2 linked regions of the Pelodiscus sinensis genome follow. The protein of the gene in region 1 interacts with the protein of each later gene in a biochemical or structural test. Links are inferred from orthologs where the notes say so. Each region holds a gene or a part of one and is shown on either strand. Other genes may lie near its edges.

Region 1 (11,103 bases):
AGTCTGGAGCTTCCCTTCAAGCTCCCAGACCCTGACTTGTGGAACTACCTGGGGGGATTTTGGCTTTTGTTTCTGAAAAGATGTTTTCTGGCTCTCATGGAGGAAAACTGGAACTCATGAAGCACAGGCGTCCAGAAGGCGCAGAAACCAGAATGCCTTCTGGGAGCACGGAGCTGTCCCCCCTCCCGACGTGCTCATGTTAAAGCCTCTAGACCTGGTTTTCCAGATCACAAGTTGCTCCCTGCTGATACCGTTGTGGTCACCTAGTCCGGCTGATCTCAACCAGGGTACACGGGGCTCTTCCAGGGGCTGCATCAACCCATCTAGACACCACCCTAGTTTTACCCCAGGTGGCACAAAAAGCACGGGCAGAGTCAGTACAGGCTACAATTTCACGCAGACCGTGGCTTGTTTCTACTGCTCCTCAAGCCATGCACCGGAATGGAAGGGCCGTATTTCCATCCCCACTGATTTCTTTTGTAATTAGAGGATGAACGTGCGAAAGGAAACCATGATTCAGTAGCAGTGTGGCCAGGACACTTCTGTCTCTCTAAAGCTGATTCTGAGTGAGTCGGCGAGTCGGCGCTCAGTGAGGTGAAACTCAGGCTCTGAAAGATGGAAGCAGCTCCTGAAAGCTGCCGCTTGGAAAGGCTGAGAGCCCCGTCAGACCTGCATAGCACGGCCCATGGGGCTTCTCGGCGTGAACGCCTGTGTGACCTGGAGCAGACCAACTCCCCACCCGACACAAACGTTGCCAATAAGGGAGGTGCCCCCATGACTCTTGGCAGGTTGTTCCCACAGTGAGTTACCCCCTGACAAAAAGGTGCGCCTTGTTTCTCATCTGTCTCCAGCTTTACTTTCCAGCTGGCCTCTTGCTTGGCTGGGGCCCACACTCCTCCTTGGATCTTATCAGCCTGTCCCTTTGGTTTGTCTGGTTCGCCTTGCCCCAAGGCGGGACGTTTCCTGTCCACTCTCCCCGCCAAGCTCCCTGCCCGAGGCAGCAAGCCGAGTTCAGACGGTCACAGCCAGACAGTGCTCGTCGGCAAACCGGTCCTGCTGTCTCCTGCGCGTCTCGCTCACAGATGCAGAAAGGTCTCTGTGCTGACCCACAGCTCACGCGCACGGCCGGCATTGCGTACGGGCCAGAAACCTGACCCCTCCTACAGGCAGACGGGAGCGCCTCGAGGCACCCCATATGCACCATCAGCACCAAACCCGGAGCATGAAGAGGTCTGACTTTGTGCAAAGCACCCCGGTCAAGCAGAGATCCGGTCTTCCTTCCGTCGCCAGTGAGATTCAAAAGCAGCGTTGCGCGGTCTGCGGCCGTGTCGCTGGCATGGAGGGAAAATATCCCAGCGCCCCATGTGCTGCGATCTGCATTGACCCGTGAGGGGCTGCGTGCTCTGACCCTACTTTGGCATTGCCCCGGGGGCCCCCAGAGATTCCTGGCTTTGCCGGAGTGAGCCAGACCTGGCAACTTGGCTACATCGCGGCCATCGGCTGCACTCACTCTGCAGGGCACAGTGGTCTCTCCACAGTCAATGCACCGCTGCGGAGGATTTCATTCACCCCTAAACCAAAGCCAGGCAGCCAGGCTCTGCTTCGCCAGGCGTACAAAGCCCAATCCCAGGCCTGCACTGCACCAGGAAGATTTGCTATGTCAGGTGGGAGTGTAAAAAATTCACCCCCCCTCGCTGATATACCAGTGCAGCCAAACCCTCGGCATAGACACAACTATGCCAGCGGAAGAGCTCTGACGTCACCTTGCCTCACATTATCCTTGGGATACGTTAGCAGATGCTGCAGCTACACCAGAGGGCTAGGCCCGCAGAGGCTCTGGAGTGTAGACACGGCCCCCAGGAAAGTCAAGGGGATCTGGGCAATAAATACCCTTTTCTCCATAGTTCGCCTCTCGTGTAGTCATTCTGCTGTTATCCTCTTGTGGTATTCGGTGTTTTGCATTAAGCCCCTGCTCCTGGAGTCATGGGATTATGTGAGTATCTCGCCTCTCACTGAAAATGGGGAAGTACATTTCTAGCTCGTATGTCCGGAGACAAAGGCCAACATAGGCGATCTCTAAAACCTCTAAGCCTAGTAAGCAAATAAAAGAATCTCCAATTTCTTAATTTACTTATAAGTTTTCTGATTTGTGAGCCAATTGTGCTATGTTTGGGAGAGGCTTGACGTGCAATTTCTGAACGTTTGGAGTCAGAGACACTAGTGCAGGGTGGCTGCAGATCGACACCACTTGGAGTCAGTAGCATTTTGCACAGCACTCTGGGCAAGGGAGAATCTGCCTGGCTGTATTTCCCCACACTGAGGCTGTGCAAAGTTGCTTGTGCCCCCAAAAGTCTGTCTTGCACAATGATAACCAGTGTTCACCCCAGCTGACTGCACAGTTCTGCACATTTTGATTGCCTTTATGATTTATTTTCCTGATCGGCACCATTAAACCAATTTAGATACGTTTAGCAAAACATTTTTCCAAGGCAAATTAAGGCTGTTGAACTTACTGTTTATGGTTCATAGGTTCATAGGGGTGATTTTTTTCTTCTTGTGCTGATGTGTTAGACGCCTCCACTTTCTCTCCTGATGTAGGTTTGTTTTCCCAACAGGCAGTCAGGGCCATAAAACCAATTTCTCCTGGGGATCAGGGGCCGAAAGATGTGAGAGACATTCAGCCAGCCCAAATTTTTCAACCACATTTTTTTCAGTAAAAAATTCAGATTCGGCAGTACCAAAACATTTTGCAAATTTGTACCATTTTCGCATCATTGTTCGTTTTGAAAAAATCCCCAACCCTCACCCCCAAAATTCCAAAGGTTATTGTTTTCATATTTTGAAAACAAAAAGTTTTGATCTTTACAGTTGAAAAGACTTTTCATTTAGAAATTTCCTTTAATTTAAAAAAAATGTAAGAAAAATATAAATTAAAAAACTTTTTTCTGACTTTTTGATTGGCTGAAAATTTTTTAAAAAAAGGTTTTCAATTCAGTCTGAACTCCCTCCCCCCAAACTGAATTCCCGGCAAACTGAAAATCCATTATTTGGCCAGCTTAAATTCTGGCAACATTTAAATGGAGTTTCCTGCAAATCCCCTCCCAATTTTATACAAGGAGCTCCAACTCATAAATGCAAAGATTCCAAAGCCAGATGGGACCACTGTGATCATCCAGTCTGCCCTCTTTCACCAACCACACCACAGAACTTCTCCACACTAATTCTTTGAACAAATCATTCAGAACAATGTCAAACCTTGGTTGAAAACTTGCCAATCACAGGTGCTTTTGCAGAGACATGTCTGAAGAATGAAAACGAGGAAACACATTAAGGAATTTGAAATCTACAAATCCATAAATAACACTTTACAGATGTGTGTGATAGTCCCTGTTGTTTCCACATCTTGTGATATTACGTGTTTCCTGAAGTCCCGGCTCATGGAGTCTGGTGATTACACGAGACTTTCATTAGCAGGGGGGAAGTAAGTCTCTATCCCTCATGGTTACAGAGAAAATATCGAGTTCATATGCCATAAAGGCGCCAAATTCAGAAGGCCAATAAAAAGGACAGAAAATCTGCCTGCAGATGCATACTGGGTCCAAAGTCTCAGGTGTTGTAAACCAGGATGTTTTGGGGACTTAAACTGGTACTTAAGTATTGCATAAGCTTTGTGCTGGGTCGCTGCACTGGAGTGAGAGGAGGTCATTTTCCTAAGGCTCTGGAAGATGTCAGAAAAGTCCTCAGATAAGACGGAAGGACTGTCATCTCTCTGCCACATGGTAGCAGATCTTGGGCCCTTCATGACTGTTTCTCAGTGGAGGAGAAATCAGCGAAGCAGAGCCTGGGTATTTTCTCATGGTAGCTTGTTGATTCACACTATGTACCCCAGTCCTGGAACAGAGGGGGTCACAAACAGCAGGCAGATCTCTGTTGGAGATCTCAAACCAGCAATCAATACCTCCCTTCCAGGGAGCAACGGGTGCCCCTGTTTTTAAAAAGGAAAATGTCACCCCTATGTGGAGCTGGAGCAGGGACAGCACAGCGGTGACAGGACGGTGCATGCACAAGCCGACCGCAGCCTCCATTTCACTCGCCGCGGCAGTTTGAAAGCAGCCGGAAGCTCCAAGCCTCCTCAGGTCCGTCTACACTGCAACACTATTTCAGGATACCGGAGTATCCCAAAATTGCTATCCCGCGTCTTCACAGCAAGCCCGTTATTTCAGGCTCACTATTCCGACGTCCCTGCAAACCTCGTTCTACGAGGAGTAAGGGGTGCTTCGGAATAGCGCTGTATTTCGAAATTTGGTGCTGCGTAGACAGCGACAAATGATGAAATAAGCTACTTCAAAATAGCCTCGAGAGAAGATACACAATTTGCGTAACTCAAATCGCGTCGCTTATTTCGAGTTACGGTGCAGTGTAGACTCCCCCTCCTGCCCTGTGCAGGACTCCCTGCAGCCGCTGCTGGTATTTAAAAGGACTGGTGCAGCCCCGGACCCCCTTAAGTCCACTGGGCCCAGGGACAATTGGCCCCTTTTGTCCCCATCGACAGGCCAGACAGAGCTACTGCAAATCCAGATCCATCAAAACGAGCCATCCCTGCAGACAGCAAGCCGCAGAGGCAATTAAATGCTGGAACCACCTTACTGTATTTAAACAGATACAGGCAGGATTTGGAGACTGCTGCAACCCCCCAAGGCCCTGCCTTTGAAGGAAGCTTCATGAGAGCGCCCATTAGCACAGGAAGGCATGTTGGGGTTCTGCAGAGTCTCAGCAAGGAAATTCATGAAGTTGCTGGGCCAGTTTTTCTGCTGCCCTGCGTGGTGCCCAGGGCACTCGGAATGGCCGGATTGCACCTGGTGTAAAAGGGTGTGAGGTCTGGAGGTGGGAGGGGGCTGCAGAACAGCCATGCCTCTAGCAGGAGTCTAGCTGGTGGTTGCTGAGCTGCCCAGGGCAGGAATTTTGTGTATTGTTTCCTTTCATTCCCATTCTTGGGCACTGGTGCCAACAGACGCAGGGCTGAGCCAGCCGGGGCAGCCGCGGGGGAGCGGAAAAGCTCTGCCGCTCGGACACTGGACCGAGACAGAACCACCCTGATCTAGAGTGGAATCAAGTGCAAAACTCCTCAGTGCTGGGGCCCCAGCACGGACCTTGTGGCCAGGAGCTGGTGCCATTTCCACGGCGGCTGTTCGGAGTTCCCAAACCCCTGCGCGTCTCCACGGCTCACTCCGACAAGTGCGCTGTTGGGAGCTGCCTCTCCAGCATGCCCGTCCCCAGGGCACCTGCCACGCTGGGCCACCGAGACAAGCGGCTGCTGGCTGGGAATGCAGCAGAGAACGGCCAGGCTTTCCCGGCTGTGCAGGGCTGGCAGAGGCTGGGGTGGCAGGGAGTCTGAGGGGAGGGGGCAGGCTGGGGGGCTGAGGGGAGGGGGACAGGTTGGGGGTCTGAGGGAAGGGGCTGGGGGGAGGGGGCAGGCAGGGGGCTGAGGGGAGGGGGACAGGTTGGGGGCTGAGGGGAGGGGGACAGGTTGGGGGTCTGAGGGAAGGGGCTGGGGGGGAGGAGGGGCAAGCTGGGGGGGGCAGTCCGAAGAGGGACGAAGTGAGGCGGCAGAGGACAAGCGGGGCAGGGGGCGGGGCTTTTCCCGGCTCCGGGTGAGGGCGGGGCAGGGGGCGGGGCTTTTCCCGGCTCCGGGTGGGGGCGGGGCGAGGGGCGGGGCTGTTCCCGGCTCCGGGTGGGGGCGGGGCGAGGGGCGGGGCTGTTCCCGGCTCCGGGTGGGGGCGGGGCGCCGGTCGCTTCCCGTCAAAAGGCGGGCGCGGGGCCGGGGGGGGGCCGGCGGGAGCAGGGGGCGCTCGTAGCACGTGCAGGTACCGGGCTGGTCTCCGGGGGCGCTCAGCTTCCCCCCCCCCGGGGCGCTGCCGGGCTCTGAGGGGCGCCCCCCCCCGGAGGGGAACGGGGGGGGGCGCTGCCGGGCTCTGAGGGGCGCCCCCCCCCGGAGGGGAACGGGGGGGGGCGCTGCCGGGCTCTGAGGGGCGCCCCCCCGGAGGGGAATGGGGGGGGCGCTGCCGGGCTCTGAGGGGCGCCCCCCCGGAGGGGAATGGGGGGGGCGCTGCCGGGCTCTGAGGGGCGCCCCCCCGGAGGGGAATGGGGGGGGGCGCTGCCGGGCTCTGAGGGGCGCCCCCCCCGGAGGGGAATGGGGGGGGCGCTGCCGGGCTCTGAGGGGCGCCCCCCCCGGAGGGGAATGGGGGGGGCGCTGCCGGGCTCTGAGGGGCGCCCCCCCGGAGGGGAATGGGGGGGGGCGCTGCCGGGCTCTGAGGGGCGCCCCCCCGGAGGGGAATGGGGGGGGGCGCTGCCGGGCTCTGAGGGGCGCCCCCCCGGAGGGGAATGGGGGGGGCGCTGCCGGGCTCTGAGGGGCGCCCCCCCCGGAGGGGAATGGGGGGGGCGCTGCCGGGCTCTGAGGGGCGCCCCCCCCGGAGGGGAATGGGGGGGGCGCTGCCGGGCTCTGAGGGGCGCCCCCCCCGGAGGGGAAGGGGGGGCGCTGCCGGGCTCTGAGGGGCCCCCCCGGAGGGGAAGGGGGGGGGCGCTGCCGGGCTCTGAGGGGCCCCCCCGGAGGGGAAGGGGGGGGGCGCTGCCGGGCTCTGAGGGGCCCCCCCGGAGGGGAAGGGGGGTGCTCCCTTTCTCGGGGCAGAGTGAGGGGTTGTCGGGGGGGGCCCCTGGCGTTAGCCCTGCCCAGCGCGGGTGCGGGCTGGGGCGAGGACTGGGGGGTTGATTCCCCCCTTCCCCATGTCCAACCCCCCCCAGTTCCCGTCCAGCCCCGGGCCGGAGCGCTCCTGTGCTGTCCAGGGACTGGCTGTAGCGACTGGCGCCCTTATTCCTCTTTCTGTCGGGGCTTGTCGTGCGCTCCTGTTGCTTTGTCCATGTCTCTCTGGGGCCCGGGGCCCGGATTAAATGCCGGATTCCTCCTGTGGTTGTATAGAAGGACTCGCTTCCTGGTGCCTTAAACTTTTACCTTGCAGCCACATAGCAATGCAAACTGCCTTGCTGTCAACCCCTGGGCTTTGTGCTTCTGTGAAGAGCCGATTTCGAGCCTCTCCACCCCGATACATTAGCTGTGTTGGGGGGTTTTAAGTCGAATCTCTATACAATTTCTGCCCATCTCTCTGCTGTCTCTGTTTTTTCATTCCCAGTGGCGGGATCTGCAGCCCATTCCCACTTAATCTAAGAATGTCAGATCAGTTTAATGAGATGTTTTGGGGATTGCAAGTTGTACAAGTGTTGTGAAAAACCAGACCCCTCGGCTACCTGGCAGCAAGATAGATACCTGCTGTGTTTGGTGTTTGATTATTATGTGGCTGTCCATAATATTTTGGTCACTAAGTCATCTGGATACTGAATGACCAAAATATTATGGATAACGAATGAGCATGTTAAAACAAGTCTTAAGGCTGCTTTCTCAGTACCTCTCTGTGTGTGACTTTGCTACTTGTCATAGCTATTTTGTTTATAGTTTTCCAGTCGGCTCACAATCCACAAGTTATTTCGTCTGAGCCAATTGAATGAATGTGCCGGTTAAGACTTCGTGAGGCACAGTATAGAATGCCTCCAGTTCCAATAGACTCTACACTTGTAGTGACTTGTTTCACTATATTCCTAATGATAAAAAATTTGCCTTACTGCAATATAATTGCCAAGGTTTTTTTCCCTCTTTTGTGAGGGATAAGCTCCCTTGTGCATAACCTTCTCCTCAACTGTGCCCCCCGGGTTGGGTCTAGGACATGGGTGAAAGGTTAAGGCATCTCTGGACCCCACTTTGACAGGATAGAGTAACTGGAGGGATCATTTTCTTTTTTGGGAAGGGGGAATGAGCATGCTGGGTTAGGAGGAGAAGCTTCTGCTTGGGGCAAAGATGCGAGGTATAAAAGGAAGACTGGTGTCTTCTGCAGTGTGGCTTTCTAGCCTTTGGAGGGCTGATGTAGTAACAGCATAATGCTGGCGTCTGGCACTTCCGAAAGTCAAGTAAGGTTCCATAGAAGCCAGTTTCCATGAAAACCCCTCTAAAGCTTGTTTCCTTTCATGACTTGCTCTCCTCCCACATTAGATGAGACCAGTGACTCATGTTCCTTTCTGGGCTCAGTATAAGAGGCTGTAGCATGTTCCAGAGCATATGTCTTTCCTTCTGAAGGGAACTTGGTTCTGCGTTCAGCTTTAGTATGGAGTCTGCAAACACAGGCACTCCTCTCTTGCATCTGCAGTACAGTAGGTCAGAGCTGGGTCAGTAGGCTGTCTGGCAAGAGCACTTAGTATCTGGCAGGATGGGACAAAGGCTTTAATAACTGCTTTTAAACCAGTCCAGTCACTAAAGAACCTTTAACCCATCAGACATAGAGTAATTATGTAAAGCTTAGTCATTTTACTCCCCTCCCCCCCCCCCTTTTAAAGCCTCTTTCCTCCACAATACTGGGCGTTTATAAACTAGCTTTGAGTTGAAGTTTTTGCTGTGAGTTTAAAGTGCTCATGCTATGAGGCAGACTTTCTCATTCAGATAGGACGGTTTTTCTGAAATATGTACGCAAACTTGAAATGCACCAAAGTTCAGGCTAATCTTGTTATGAGAGAGTTAAGAGTTCTGATTGCTCAGAGCTGAATGACTTTAACCAAATGCACTAGAGACTTGAGCAGTGTGTTTTAATCATGACTAGAGAGCATACAATTTTGGCTGGCTAGGGCACTACACCCAAATCTTGTGTACAGGGAGCTACAGTAGACTGTACAATCTGTGCTTTCATCATTTTCAATTTAAGTTGCCTCATCACCATATGGAATCTGCAACTATTTCACCAGTAAAAGCCAATGAAAACTCTCACCCTGGTGCTCTGCAGAAGCTACTTCCCCTGTTAATTTCCAGAACAAATTCTGTCTTGTTCCTGATCTCTGAAAGCTTTCCCATGTTGGGACTTGGCAGTTTTGAGACTCCAATTTGTTGCCCACCACTTGCCCAAATGATTGTGCTCCACTGAGATTTATGCAATTGGTGAACCCCAAGAAAAGACTACTTGGGGCACTTGGAGGTCTGACTAAAATCCAGTCTTGAATGTAATCCCATCAACAGAAGTCCAGATTGTTTTGTGTTTTTGAAGAGTCAAAAATGTTAAAATCCTCGAATCCTGAGGAAAAGTGCTTGCTGTACTATTTGCTTTTATTAAAAAAAATTGTGTGCCTAGATACTAAGGTGCTTAGGGCAGATGGCTATATAACATAACCCTATGCAAAGTGCAAATATAGCTTTGCTACTTGTGGAAAGGTGGCTATTTCTGTCCCTGGCTGAAATGCTGACTCTGTGTTTAAAAGCATTTTATACCTCCTGTAACTTTGCCAAAACTAAAACAAGTCAGCTGAAACTTCCCGTGACCTTCTCTAGAGAAGTACTGGAATCTTGGGCAGCTGGACAAAGAATGAATGATCAGGTAAAACAACAAAAAAAAATTTGCAAAAGTTCTCACTCTGCTGGAAAATCCTGATCTTAAGAAAAAGATGGAGAATCATGGGATTTAACAGAGCCCCTGGACAAACAAATTTCCCTTATAGTTGATCAAGACTTAGGATCTGGGACCTTCTACCGGCTGTACCTGTGAAGAGCACAATAACACTGCAAAGCGGTGGAGTCTGCTGTACTCCAGGTTAATTAAAGGTGTGGGGATGTATTTGGCTTGCCCTGTGAGCTAGACCTACTGAGTGGCATATACTTACTGGCGGTGATCCAAGGGAGATTTCAGATCTGTTTTAAAATGAGCCTTCTTCCAACTCTTGGAGGAAGAATGACTCCAACATTACTTGGAGGGAATATTTCCTCCATGTCCTCTGGTATAGAAATCAGTTTTGCCTTTGGACTTCTAGAGACTCCCTTACCTTCCTGGGTATATTGCAGAGTAGGTGCAACACAGGACCTGTAAGACAGTTCATTCAGGGTGTCCTGGTTTTTAAGCTGTTTGCTTCCACTAGGACTTGATGGTTTAAAGTTATGCCCTTCTAGCTAGTACATAATTCATAAGATTGATGACTAAATCTTGTATAACCAGCAAGATCTGTACAATCCATTCAACTGTACTGACTTCAGGAAACTTCCCAAATCCTTGTTTTCTTTATGATGGTGTTCCAGCAATGGCCATTTCTCACTCTGCTGCTTTGGCAGAGCTCTGAGTGTCGGTAGAGGCACAAGAGTGTCTATCGCCAGTGGAAGATCAAACACTATTGGCTACGTTCAGTTTTGCAGTACAAGTGCTAGAGACTCTTTTGTGTGTTGGTTTTTGAAAAGCTTAAATTCGACAGGAGTTGACGGAACTTGCCTAAAACAGTTCTGCCCACCACAGGCAAGTGTGAATGTCTTCCATACCATGCTATGGCTTGAACTGGTTTGAGCTGCTTAAGAATCTTACTCGAATACTGGCTTGGGGGAAGCATTTGAACTCCTCCCCAAATGCTTTAATTTGTAACTTCAAGTCCTTGTCAGGTTTTGCTCTCTCTAAAAGACCCACCGGGCAGCTGACAGAAGAAACCTATTTCATTGATGTCAAACTAATCTGAACTTCAGAGGTTCGCTCTGCTCCAGATTAAATTGTGGCAATCTTGGCAGGAAGTAGCTGGATTCAGGGAGAGTAGGTGGAAAGGATAAACAATATATCTAATGCTACCTTGCCCTAAAAGAGCTCCTGCCAACATACAGGAATAATGCCTCTCTCCTCCCGGGCACTCAATGTGAGTATGTGGAAATGCTACCGAGAGCCGAGGATTCCCTCTTGGTCAATAGTGATAGAGATGTGGCCATGTTTGTCTGGTGTAGCTGAAACAAAAGACAGGACTGTGTAGCACTTTAAAGACTAACAAGATGGCTTATTAGGTGATGAGCTTTCGAGGGCCAGACCCACTTCCTCAGATCCATTTTCTTCCACAAATTGATCTGAGGAAGTGGGTCTGGCCCATGAAAGCTCATCACCTAATAAACCATCTTAGTTCTGTCTCTTGGTCAATGGCATTCTTTGCCTGGGAGTGTGGGATTTCCTGCAGGATTTCCTGCTCCAACTGAACTCTGGTTCAAGAATGCCCTCACCT
Region 2 (10,738 bases), on another chromosome or scaffold:
TCCAACGCCGACTCCCTGCTGCTGGGATTGCTAGAGACCCTCTCGCGCCCCTCGGCAGGAGAAGCCCCTGAGCAGGACACAGACCCCAGTGAGGTTCCTTCTCCAGGAAGGGCTGGTCAAAGCCTGCCCATTGCCCCCCACAGCCCCGCTGGGGGGGCTACCTAGGGGGGGACTCACCCGCCAGTGCTGCGGAGGACAGAGCCCGGGGGACCCTCCCCCCACCCTTGCCCCATGCCAGACACTGAGACCAGCAGCATCAGCTCGTTGGCCGGGGCCCGTTCGCAGTCAGCAAAGCCTTAATCTCCCCCTTGGCGCGCGGCCAGTGGAGCAATTGTCAGGCTGACCTGAGCTCGCCCAACCCCGGAGCCGTTTCTTTCCAGCCACCCAACCTGCTGCCAGGTTCCCATCTGCCCCGGGCGGCCTCAGTGGGACCGGCAGGGCCTATGTGCGGGGACAGGGGCTGCCCCCTCCTTCCAGCGATGCCAGGAGACTTTCGGCCGGGGCCGGCTAGCCCCCAGCGTGGGGGGTAGGTGATGTGCCAAGTGCGTCTCCACATGCTGCCTGCTCCCCTCGGGGTCCTAACCCTCAGCCCTCTCCCTGGCCAGCGTGGGGTGTCCCTCGGCCGTGACCCCGGCTCTGTCTGAGCCGACGCTGCCGCTTACCCCCAGCTACCCAGTGGCCGCCCCCAACCCGCCACCCCCCAAACTCATTTCGCTCCTTCCTCACAGATTCCAGGGCCAGGCCTCCTCTGGCCTGGCTTCCTGCAGCCGTTCGTCGGATCTGAGCTCAGGGACAGGATACCTCCCTCTGCTGCACCCCTTTGCTCCCTCGCCATGCGTCAGCCCCTCCGCAAGACCCGTGTCGGGGCGTTCCCGCAGGCCACTACTCTTTGAGCCTAGGGCTGCTCACGGCTCGCTAATCAGCTTCCCGGGCGCTCGGTCCCAGAGTGAACGTACTAGGACGGGGGCTTCCAACGTCTTACATGCAGCCCCCTGCAGAGCGGTGGCCCCTGGGGACCCCTTAGACGCTGTGATCCCTTCAGGGGTCCGCGGGCCTCCGGTCAAAACCCACGCACAGGTGCTGGGCCTGCCTCGGCAGCTTCGTGCTACGCCCTGTCTCTCGCCAGCCAGGCTGCTGCGCCAGCTTCCGCCCGCAGCTCCGGCAGCCAGTCGGCATGGACGAGGGGTAGAGAAGCCAAGCCCGGCCCCCAGGAGTCCTAGCGGGGACCCCTGCAGGGGTGGGGTTCCCTGCCCGCACACTGCCTGGCCTTGGCACGGAAAGGCCGGATTTCTCAATTGCTCCCTCCTCCCCTGTGACCTTTCCAGGCGAGGGAGTTGGCTGGCTTCCCTGTCCTGTTAACGCTTCATGGACGGAAATGCAGGGCTGGTCAGGGCTCGGGGCGAGGTGGGGGAGGGACACTACAGGCAGGAGCCTCCCTGCCCTGCATTCGTGTCAGGTGGAAAGGGATCACTCATAAAGCCAGTGTCAGACTGGCCTCAGGCATGAAAAGAGACAGGCCAGCTGCTCCAGTGCCCTGGTTACTGTGGTATGGTTATGATGGAGCTCCCACTGCGCTAGATGCTGGAGTGAGGGACCGTCCCTGCCTCAAAGGGCCCATGGATAGATTAGGGAGAGAGAGGAGATGTTATTCTCCCAATTTACAGGTGGGAAACTGAGGCCTAGACAGGTGATGTGACTTGCCCAAGGACACCCGCAGACTCTGTGGCAGAGACAGGGAATAGACTCCAGGTCTCCCCATTCATTGTCCAGTGCTGCCTCTGAAAGATGGCGCCTCTTTCCTTGCTTCTTGGATGGAAGCCCCTGTATCCACAACCAGAGTTTTGGAAACCTTCTCCAGGCATGTCCCCCTGCACCGAGGGTCGTGGGGACTGTCTAAAGCAGCCTCATTCCTGCCTCTCGCTTAGCTTGGTTCGAAGAGTCCCACAACCCGGCTCAGGCTGCTGCTTAAGAGGATGGAGATGGGGCAGCTCCTGGTGGACAAGGAGGATGTGGCTAAGCAGGAGCAGGTGTCGGGAGTGAGGGTGGTGGGGGGAAGGGGGAGCGTTCACAGGCTGATGCCGGCTGCATCATGCTCCCCCAGTAGGCCCTGTTCTTCTGAGAGGGAGGGCTGTGCCGTTCCCTGGGGAGCAGGAACACCGTGCGAGCCCTGCCCTGGCTGGTTACTGACCGTCCTTGGCTCTGATGTACTCTGGCAGGCGGGGGGGCGAGGCTGGGCCCGGCGACGGGAGCCAGAGGAACGGGACGCTCTGTCCTCTTGGCACTGCCGAAGGTAAGGAGGGTTCGCTGGGTCTGGACTGGGTGGGTGCGGTTTTGTGGCCTGCCAGGGGCCGGAGGTCAGACAGGTGTCCAACCGCTCTCGTGGCTACTGCCATCGGGAACTAGCCACGTCATTCCGAAACGGTGAATAATCGTGTGAGCCAACCAGCCGCGCTCAGCTGGCCAAAGAGCCACCCGTGGCCAGCGTGCCGGACTCCACGGGACGCTCCCGTCTGACCGTACGCCCTGCGGGGCTGGGGTTGCCGCGTGGGGAGGGGCCGTGCTGCGTGGGTCCCCCTCACCTGCCTCGCTGGGCCCTGGGAGGTGGGCTGCTCGAAGGTGGGCTGTGCCAAGACCAAGCTAGCCTGGGGGTGGCAATAATTTCTGATGGGGGACACTCCATGGATTTGGTAAGAGGTCATAGTGGCACTCTTCCATGATATTAATGGAGAGGGGGCAGGCTGTAGGCTGGGTGCAGAAGGGAGCTCGGGGGAAGGATTGGGGTGCTGGAGGGGGTGTGGGATCTGGAAGGGAATTTGGGTGAAGGAGGGGGTTGAGACCTGGGGTAGGGAGCTGGGGTGCAGGGTGCAGGAGGGGGTATGGGTGCAGGAGAAGGGGTGCAGAGAGTTTGGGTTACATGGGGTAGGGATGCAGGAGAGGGGCAGATGGTTGGGGGGAGAGAGGGGCTGGGGTGTCAGAGGCAGGCTTTGGCTGGGATTCCTCAGCCGGGGTCCCTGCCTTCCACACCCCTGCACCGGCTGCATGCATGGCTGAGGCCGAAGCCTGTGAGCCCATAGAGGGGTGGGGTACTTCCTGTGCTGCCTGTCCTGCGAACAAGCAGCTCCCATTGGCCGAAAACTGGCCAACGGGAGCTGTAAGATTTTGCTGGGGGTGGGGACAGTGTGCAATGTCTTCCCCCGGGACTCGCAGGATTCAGAGAGCTGCTCTGAGCACAAGCGAGAGCGGGGCAGGCAGGCAGCCTGGCGGAGGCTCCTGCGGGCCGGGTCTGGCCCACGGGCCGTATTTTGCCCACCCCTAGTTCTCACCCAGCTGGGGGCAAGGCCACGGGTTATAATGACCAGCAGGCGATGCCACGGCCACGCAGACACCTCTCTGGCGACAGGGCCTGGCCAGCCACCGGCAGACAAAAATTCTGCTTCCCGAGCGGGTCTCTGAACAGGCCGTCCAGTCTCTTGACAGCTGAGCCGGCCTTTGGTCCCACTGGGCTGCCGTGACCCCGCATCCTGGGGGTAAACATGCAGCTGCAGCTGGCCGGGCGGCCGCATTCCAGGCCGGCCGGATCGCAGTGCACCGGGCTGGTACTCGCCCCTGCGCTGATACGCTGGCACCAGAGGTCAGTGATGGGGAGGGAGATCGGGGGGTTGTTTATTCATTAACAGGCTAGATCTCTGCTGGACTCTTAGCTCGCGGAGGAGCTGGCGGCCATGGGCCCACGGAAGTTACCAGCCAGGACTGCCGGGTGCCGCCCCCAGCCAGCAAGCCACAGTGCGCTTGGCACATCCCTCCCTTAACGCTGTCGCTGCTGGGCCTGCCGCCCGGCTGAGCAACCAGCGAGCTGCGGGAGAGCCGAGAGCCTGCCTTGTGCGGCTTTACTCTGCTCCCAGGGAGAGCGGGGCCTTGCTCCCGACTGCCCCTGCGCCCTGCCGGGGTACTCCTGGGGGCTCTGACGGCAGATCCAGGCACCGGCTGGCAGCATGGAGGGGTTGACTTGACAGCCCTGCCGGGCTGGGGAGAGTTTCGGCAGCCGCAAGGCTTGGACTGCCGGGGAGACGGGTCAGCCTATGGCAGGGCTGTTGCAACCGGCTCACCCCTCGGAGGGCTCAGCCAAGGGGGAAGCGAAGCCATCAGCCTGGGTCAGCGCAGAGCCTCCGTGAGACCTTCCCTCCCCCCTTATCCTGCCTGGTCCCTGCGCCCTCTGCCTATTTTAACCCTTCGGATGCTGCACGCCAGCCCCTTTCCCCTCCCCTGGCGGCTGCCTCCCTGCGGAGCCCGTCAGCGACCCAGGTGCGAGGGAAGGGCCTTTGCCTGCACGCTCCGTGGGATCATTTCGGGGGGACAGGGGTGACTCAGGGCTATTAAAAGGCGACTTGTGCCTGACCTGCCCCAGTTTGGATAGGACAAAGTCCTCCCCCCCCCCCCCCAGCCTGACCCAGGAGGTGCGGCCGACCCACGGGAGGGGAGGGGGAGCAGTGTGCAGATAGGACAGGGTGACTTGAAGGGGGTGTAACATTACGGCCTGCCCCTTTAAGGGCTCCGGGGCCAGCCTGCCCTCTTCAGCTACCAGACCCCGGCGGGAAAGGGCCAGGTACCTGCAAGCCACCGGCCAGGTGTGCCCGGGGAGGGCCACGGCTTTGGAGCTCCCAGGGGCTGGGCGCGGGCGACTGTCCTCGCGGCAGAGGAGGCCGCGCGAGGGGCTGAACCCGTTGGGGGGGGGGGCCCTGCTCTGCGGGGTGTTTGCCCAAGTTTTGTGTTGGAGTGAAGAGGAGCCAGCGTGTGAACTGGGGGCTGCCGCGTCCGCCTGGGGACCCCTCAAAGGGGCAGCTCCCACCCAACCAGTTTCCTTCCTGCCTCTGGCCCGAGGCGTTTTCTGCCCCCAATGGCGCCGCGCTTGCAGGGGGGCGTCTGGGGAAAGGGCAGGCCTGGGCCGGGCGAGGAGCCGGGCAGTGCCAGGCGGAGGCCATGGCGGTGTACACCTCTTCAGCATCCCATCTCCCCTGGCCCCTGCTCCCCCTTCCCCCACGGCGCCTTCCTCCGCTCTGCCCCCAGAAGGAAGTGACCCCCCCCATCCATCTCCTCCCCCCTCTGTCTGGACGCCCAGAGCAGGAGCTGAGGGAGAGCGGCTCAGAATCTGGATCGTGTCCCTAGAGAGGCTGGTTCCAACGGTGACGGCATGGCTCCCCCCCCTCCATGCACCGTGCAGGCTGGTCCTCAGTAGCCCCCCCCATCCAGATCTTTGCACCCCCGTGGGGGCGTTTGCAGGCAGGGCTAAGTCTCCTGCGATGCCCAAAAGGGTGGAGGAAGAGACAGAAGCAGACAGGAATTCGAGCCAAATGCCTCTCTCACCAGATGGACAGGGTCCTAGCCCATATACAGCCCCGAGGGAGCCCCCAGCCCCACCTGAGACTGGCCCAGACCCGACGAGCCCCCGCCCGGGGAGCCTGCTGTCCCCATCTGACATTGGCACCGGAGCCTGGCTTGGATTCCCTCACTCAGAGCGCGTCCAACCAGGCCTCGCTGGCTCTCGCTGTCCCTCCCTCACCTCGCCTGCCTCTCCCCCCTCCTTTCTCTCCCTTTCTCCACAGTCCCCCCCCTTCCCCCTCTTGCCTGAGTCAGCTGCTGCCATTCAGAGGCCATGTGAGCCTGCACACACATGGCTCGCAGCACAGCACAGAGCTGTATTTTTAGCAGACGGTATCAAAAGCATAATTATGTCTGTTGTTTAAATGCAGCCTCTTTGTTGGCAGCGTGCAGAGCCTTCGGCTGGCTCCCAGGCTGTGCTACCGAGGAGGAGGGCTACGGGAAACCCAAGCCACGGCTGCTCTGAGGCTGCCCCCACCCAGGGGGGGCCAGGTGGCCCCGCTTAGACGTCCCCTCTCCAGGATCTGGGGCTACGGATCTGGGGCTGCCTTCTGTTCAGGTAAGTGTGAGAACTTAACTCCTTCTGCAGGACCAGCTGGTGGGGCAGGGGGCGGGGAGGAAGGATGAGCGAGTGACAACTCCCAAAAAGTTTCTTCCGGCAGCTAAGAAGTCCAAGCGCCCAGGCCAGGCGTGTGCCAGCTGTAGGTTCCTCAGAAGGACGTGGGCAGGGGACGAGGGGCGATGGAGAGACAGAGAGGAGGCTGTGGGGGTTTGTCCAAGAGGCGATGTGAGAGGCAGGCTGGTTTGGAGGGGGGTTTCTCGGCAGGGGGCAAGGTTGAAAGGTGGCGTGAGGGGGATGTGAGCGGAGGGTTGGTGGGTAAAGGCGTCTGTCTTCTGCCCTGGGAAGGGGAACCTACATTCCTCTTCCAGCCCCTTTTCTCCTGTCTGGGGATCCCTGTCCCCAAACACCACAAAAATACGCTCGCAGGAGGGCACCGGCCTGGGCAGCATGAGGGCTGTACCTATTGTCCTAAAAGCAAGAGCCTTCAGGGACCGGAATGAGGTTCCGCTTAGGTTCATGAGCCGCCTGGCTGGGAGATCCAGGAGACGGACGGGTTAGCTAGCTCTGTGGAGTCTGAAGAGTATGCATTCCTGCTGGGTCCCAGGCAGACTGGGACTGGGGAAACTGAAGGCTTTATTTTTTTTTTTTTTAAAGTCTGTGTTTATAAAGCGCAGCTGGTGTAGCCGTGCAGCGGGACCGGTCTCTGGTGGTAGCGTTAATTCACAATGATATTGAATACTCTGAATTGCTACAGTCCACCCTTGCATCTCTCTAAGCCATGGGTTCCCAAACTGGGGGGCGTGCCCGCTTGGGGGGCGTGATGAAATTCGGGGGAGGGGCAAGGCTTTGCTGCTATTTTTTGGGGAAGAGGGCGTGAGGGTTTCTCAAAAATCAAAAAGTTTGGGAACCATGGCTCTAAGCGCTTTATAAAGTGTAACCCGCCAGCCTCCCCGTGCAGTCGGTCAGCCTGACTATCCTCATGTGACAAGCAGGAGAAACTGAGGCACCGCCCAGGGAAGTAACATGCCCCCGGGCCTGAGCAGTAGAGCTGGAAAGAGAACCCAAGGCATGTGATCTAGCCCCTAGGCACCACTCCCTTAGCAGGGCTGGGAATAGGAAGCAGGCATAGGGAAGCCACTACTCCTGCTCTTACCACTAGAGTCACGCTTCACAATCTTTGCCCTGCTGGGGCCCTCTGGGGTGTCACTCCCATTTGGAAAGGCTGCAGTAATCATGGTCATAACCCCGTGGCACCGATTTCCAATTCTCCCCCACACCCTGTAGGGTAAACTGAGGCAGCCCTAAATGTGCCTCAGTTTACCCTACACACCCTGAGAGCCAGGCCCGTCCTGGCTGGAGATCTGGGCTTTGAAACACGCACTTCTAGAGTTGGGACAAGGACCCAGCACTCCGGATGCCCCATCCCTTGCTCTAACCACTACTCATCAGCACCCCTGGGGCCCAGTTGCCCATGTGGCCTTCTTCCTAATGCTCTCTAGGGGACGGTCTCTGGACTGGACGGCGTCCCAGGGACAGGCGATCAGGGGTGACTGTCAGAGGGGAGGGGAGGCCTGTGGCTCCCCAGCACCACCCCTCTCCCTCAACATGCTCCTATGGCAGAAAGGCTCGGCGTGAGCTCAGGAAGCTGCCTCAGTGGCTGTTCCCTGTTGGACGTGAGTTTCAGCGCTGCTTGTCATTCCGACCGGGGCTCGGCATAAGGCCCGGCGGGGGCCGTTTCTGTTTCTGACAGGCTTTTGCTATCCCCGAAGAGGGGCTGTGGAGGGGCAGAAAGGTCTGATCTGGATGGGGGGAAACGCTGAAACGCTGCAAGAAATCCAGAGCGGATAGCAGTCGATGGCTGGAGGAAAAGTCGCCCAGGGAACACTAGCCATGAACCGTGTCCGAGAGTCCACCCTGAGACCCCATACTCTGGGAGGAGCTTAGAATCATAGACTCAGAGAACACTAGAACGGGAAGGGACCTCGAGAGGTCATCAAGTCCAGTCCCCGGCCCTCACGGCAGGACCAAGCACCAGCTAGATCAGGGCTACTCAACTTTGGAAGCCCCGGGGGCCACAGTGATACTGACAGCGCATGACGAGGGCTGCAACTTAAGTCTGGTTGCACAGACATGCAAATATAGATGCAAATCTATGCAAATCGCTTCTTTCGCACTGACGGGCATGAAAACAAAGACGTAGTCAAGACAGCACCACACGCAGGCCCCGTTTAAGTCAGTTCTGCTGATATTATTAAAATGCAACATGGACCTGATTTCCACCCGTAGGACAGCACTTTTAATGAGCAATGACAGTCCAGGAATGGAACTACTAAAACACATCGCCACAGAAAACCGTTCTATTGATGCTTTTTTGTCTTGGCTCCCACCCGCGGGCCATGTGGTGAGCCCCTGTGTAAACCCAAACTGCACTGCGGGCTGCAAACAAACGGGCCGTGGGCCGCGTGTTGAGTAGCCCTGATCCAGATCATCCCTGGCAGGTGTCTGTCCAACCCGCTCTGAAATATCTCCGGTGATGGAGATTCCACAACCCCCCAGCAATTTATTCCAGTGTTTGACCACCCTGACCGGCAGGAAGTTTTTCCTAATGTCCAACCTAAACCTCCCCCGCTGCAATTTAAACCCCTTGCTTCTTGTCCTGTCCTCAGAGGCCAAGGAGAACAATTCGCCCCCCCCCCCTTCATAACACCCTTTTAGGTTCCAGAAAACTGCTACCATGTCCCGTCTCGGTCTCCTCTTTTCCAAGCTCAGCATCTCCCATGCACGGATGGAGCTGAGCTGTGGAATTCAGTCCCACTCTGATGGGGAAGATAAATGCTCAGGGCCGTGGCCACCCAGGGGCTTGGCTTACTGGTGTTTAACCTTGTCTGCATGTGAGAGCTCGGTACAGCAGAGAGCCGGGCACCTGGATAGGAAACGAGGGCTTCCCTGCTGGTAGCGCAGGCAGATAATGAATCCCTGGTGAGAAATGATGCCTGTGTCCATCTGTCTAATCACCGTACACGCTACCTTTCGCTGTAGGTTCTCGTCCTTCTGTCCGTCTGCCGGGGGTCTGACCCCAGGTGCTCCTGCTTTCTCTCTGAGGTTCCACGCCGCCCGAGGGAGAGCTGTGAGCACCTCTGTCCCTTTAGCTCCCCTGGCTCAGCCCCACAAGGCTTGGAGTCCTGACCCTTTCCCCACAGGATCTCTCTGAATTTCTCTCCCTCTCTGGCTGGAAGCCGGCCACATGCCCCACACGAGGCGTCACGCCAGAGACAGCAATGGCATGTTGGCATGAAACTGACGTTGCCGTTCGCCTGCTTTGGAACCCGGATATAAACCAGCTGCTAATTGGTTTCAGCTGATGCCAAGAGGGGCAGAGGGGGGGTGACATAGTTAGGATCTGAACGCACGCAACAGGCAGGCAATTAGCGTGGATCAGAGCTTGCCTGTGCTAGGAGCTGTTCTGATCTCCCTCCCGGCCAGCCCTCTGCTACATACAGGTGCTAATTGGCCCCAGTGTTGACTCTCTGAGCAAGGAGGACAAGGAATAAATACACCATGGAGCAAATTCTCTGCCCTGCACCCCAATGGGAGTCCTATAGGGCCGCACGCAGCATTTGGGGGAAGAGGCATTTCTTGATGCTGCTTCACTAAAGGCTCCCCAGGGCTGTCTCCTCCCAGTGGGACGTGGATTGAGACCCAGCAACTCGGTACACAGAGGGGTGGCTAAAAAAAACAAATGACATTTTACCTTGTGCTGGATTGGAAGCTATCACCTGGTGCTCCAAGCAGGGCAGCAATGGCATTTTTTCCATTTCATGGGAAATGCCACCACTGAGGATTTTTCCCATTCTGGAATGAAATGAAAATTTAAAAAAAAAAGTTCCCAATGAACATTTGCTTTGTGTGACTCAAAATGTTTCATTCCCGTTTTGACTTTTTTAAACCAAAACAAAAACCAGAAAACAAAACGTCCTGTTGTATTTGGATCATGAACTTTCTTCACAAAGTGAAACAAAACCCCGATGCCGAAATGCCCTCCAATGGAACGCTCTGTTGCATTTGATTGCCCTCTGGGCGAAATGTGGGAACAGACCCCCTGCCCCGTGAAAAGTTTCATTTCCCACAAACCCGCCTGCCTCTCCCGACGGGATCAACCCCCCAGGAAAGGAAAGGCTGCCTAGTGCTGGGAACCAGGAGAGACCGGCCCTGTGGTTGGGTGACGGTTCCCAGTGCCCTTCAGAGCCCAGAAGTAAATGGGTTGTGGATCGGGACGTGTGGGGCAAATCCCCAAAGCAGAGGACTTCACTCCCACTGCCGGGAGACAAAGCCAGAGAAAACGGCAGCCGTTCTGTGCCCTCTAGCAACCGGCCCATAGTGGCAGTTGGTGGCTGGTTTTTTTCCATGGAGAAAGGCAGGAGCTGGCTGGGATCAATGTTTCCTCTAATCTTTTCCATCCATGTGCAGAATAAATGTTGTTACGTGCACCGAGGCCTGTGTGAATGTGCACCACCAGTAGGGACAAAAACTGATCAGCTGGGCAGCACTGGACTCTCTCCTGCGTGGCGCCCAAGCGCTCAGCTTACAGGGAACATTGGCTGGGAGGCTGACTTTTCCCAGGTTGATGCCTTGGGGATTTGCAATTGTGACCTAGCTGGTCACTGGCGTGGGGCAGAAAAGGAGCCAGCCTGGGGATTGCTGGCAGGATACCCCCACGGGGCAGGTGCAGCTCCGTCGCTGCTCTCCTGTAAGTCTTGAGCATCTTCCTCTGCCCCGGGCCGGGAGCGGGGCTGACCGGCA

Evidence for each region.
Region 2: the proteins of VDR (region 1) and HR form a complex in vitro, tested with the Homo sapiens proteins (2 studies listed by BioGRID and IntAct). The link is inferred for Pelodiscus sinensis from reciprocal best matches to the Homo sapiens genes VDR and HR.

Annotation. Positions count from the first base shown.
Region 1 is NC_134729.1:77,610-88,712, forward strand, and holds the start of VDR (vitamin D3 receptor), read left to right. Parts: upstream 1-5,760; 5' UTR 5,761-5,864; intron 5,865-11,103.
Region 2 is NC_134738.1:11,647,711-11,658,448, forward strand, and holds the start of HR (lysine-specific demethylase hairless), read left to right. Parts: upstream 1-5,613; 5' UTR 5,614-5,935; intron 5,936-10,738. UniProt on the Homo sapiens protein: Histone demethylase that specifically demethylates both mono- and dimethylated 'Lys-9' of histone H3. May act as a transcription regulator controlling hair biology (via targeting of collagens), neural activity, and cell cycle.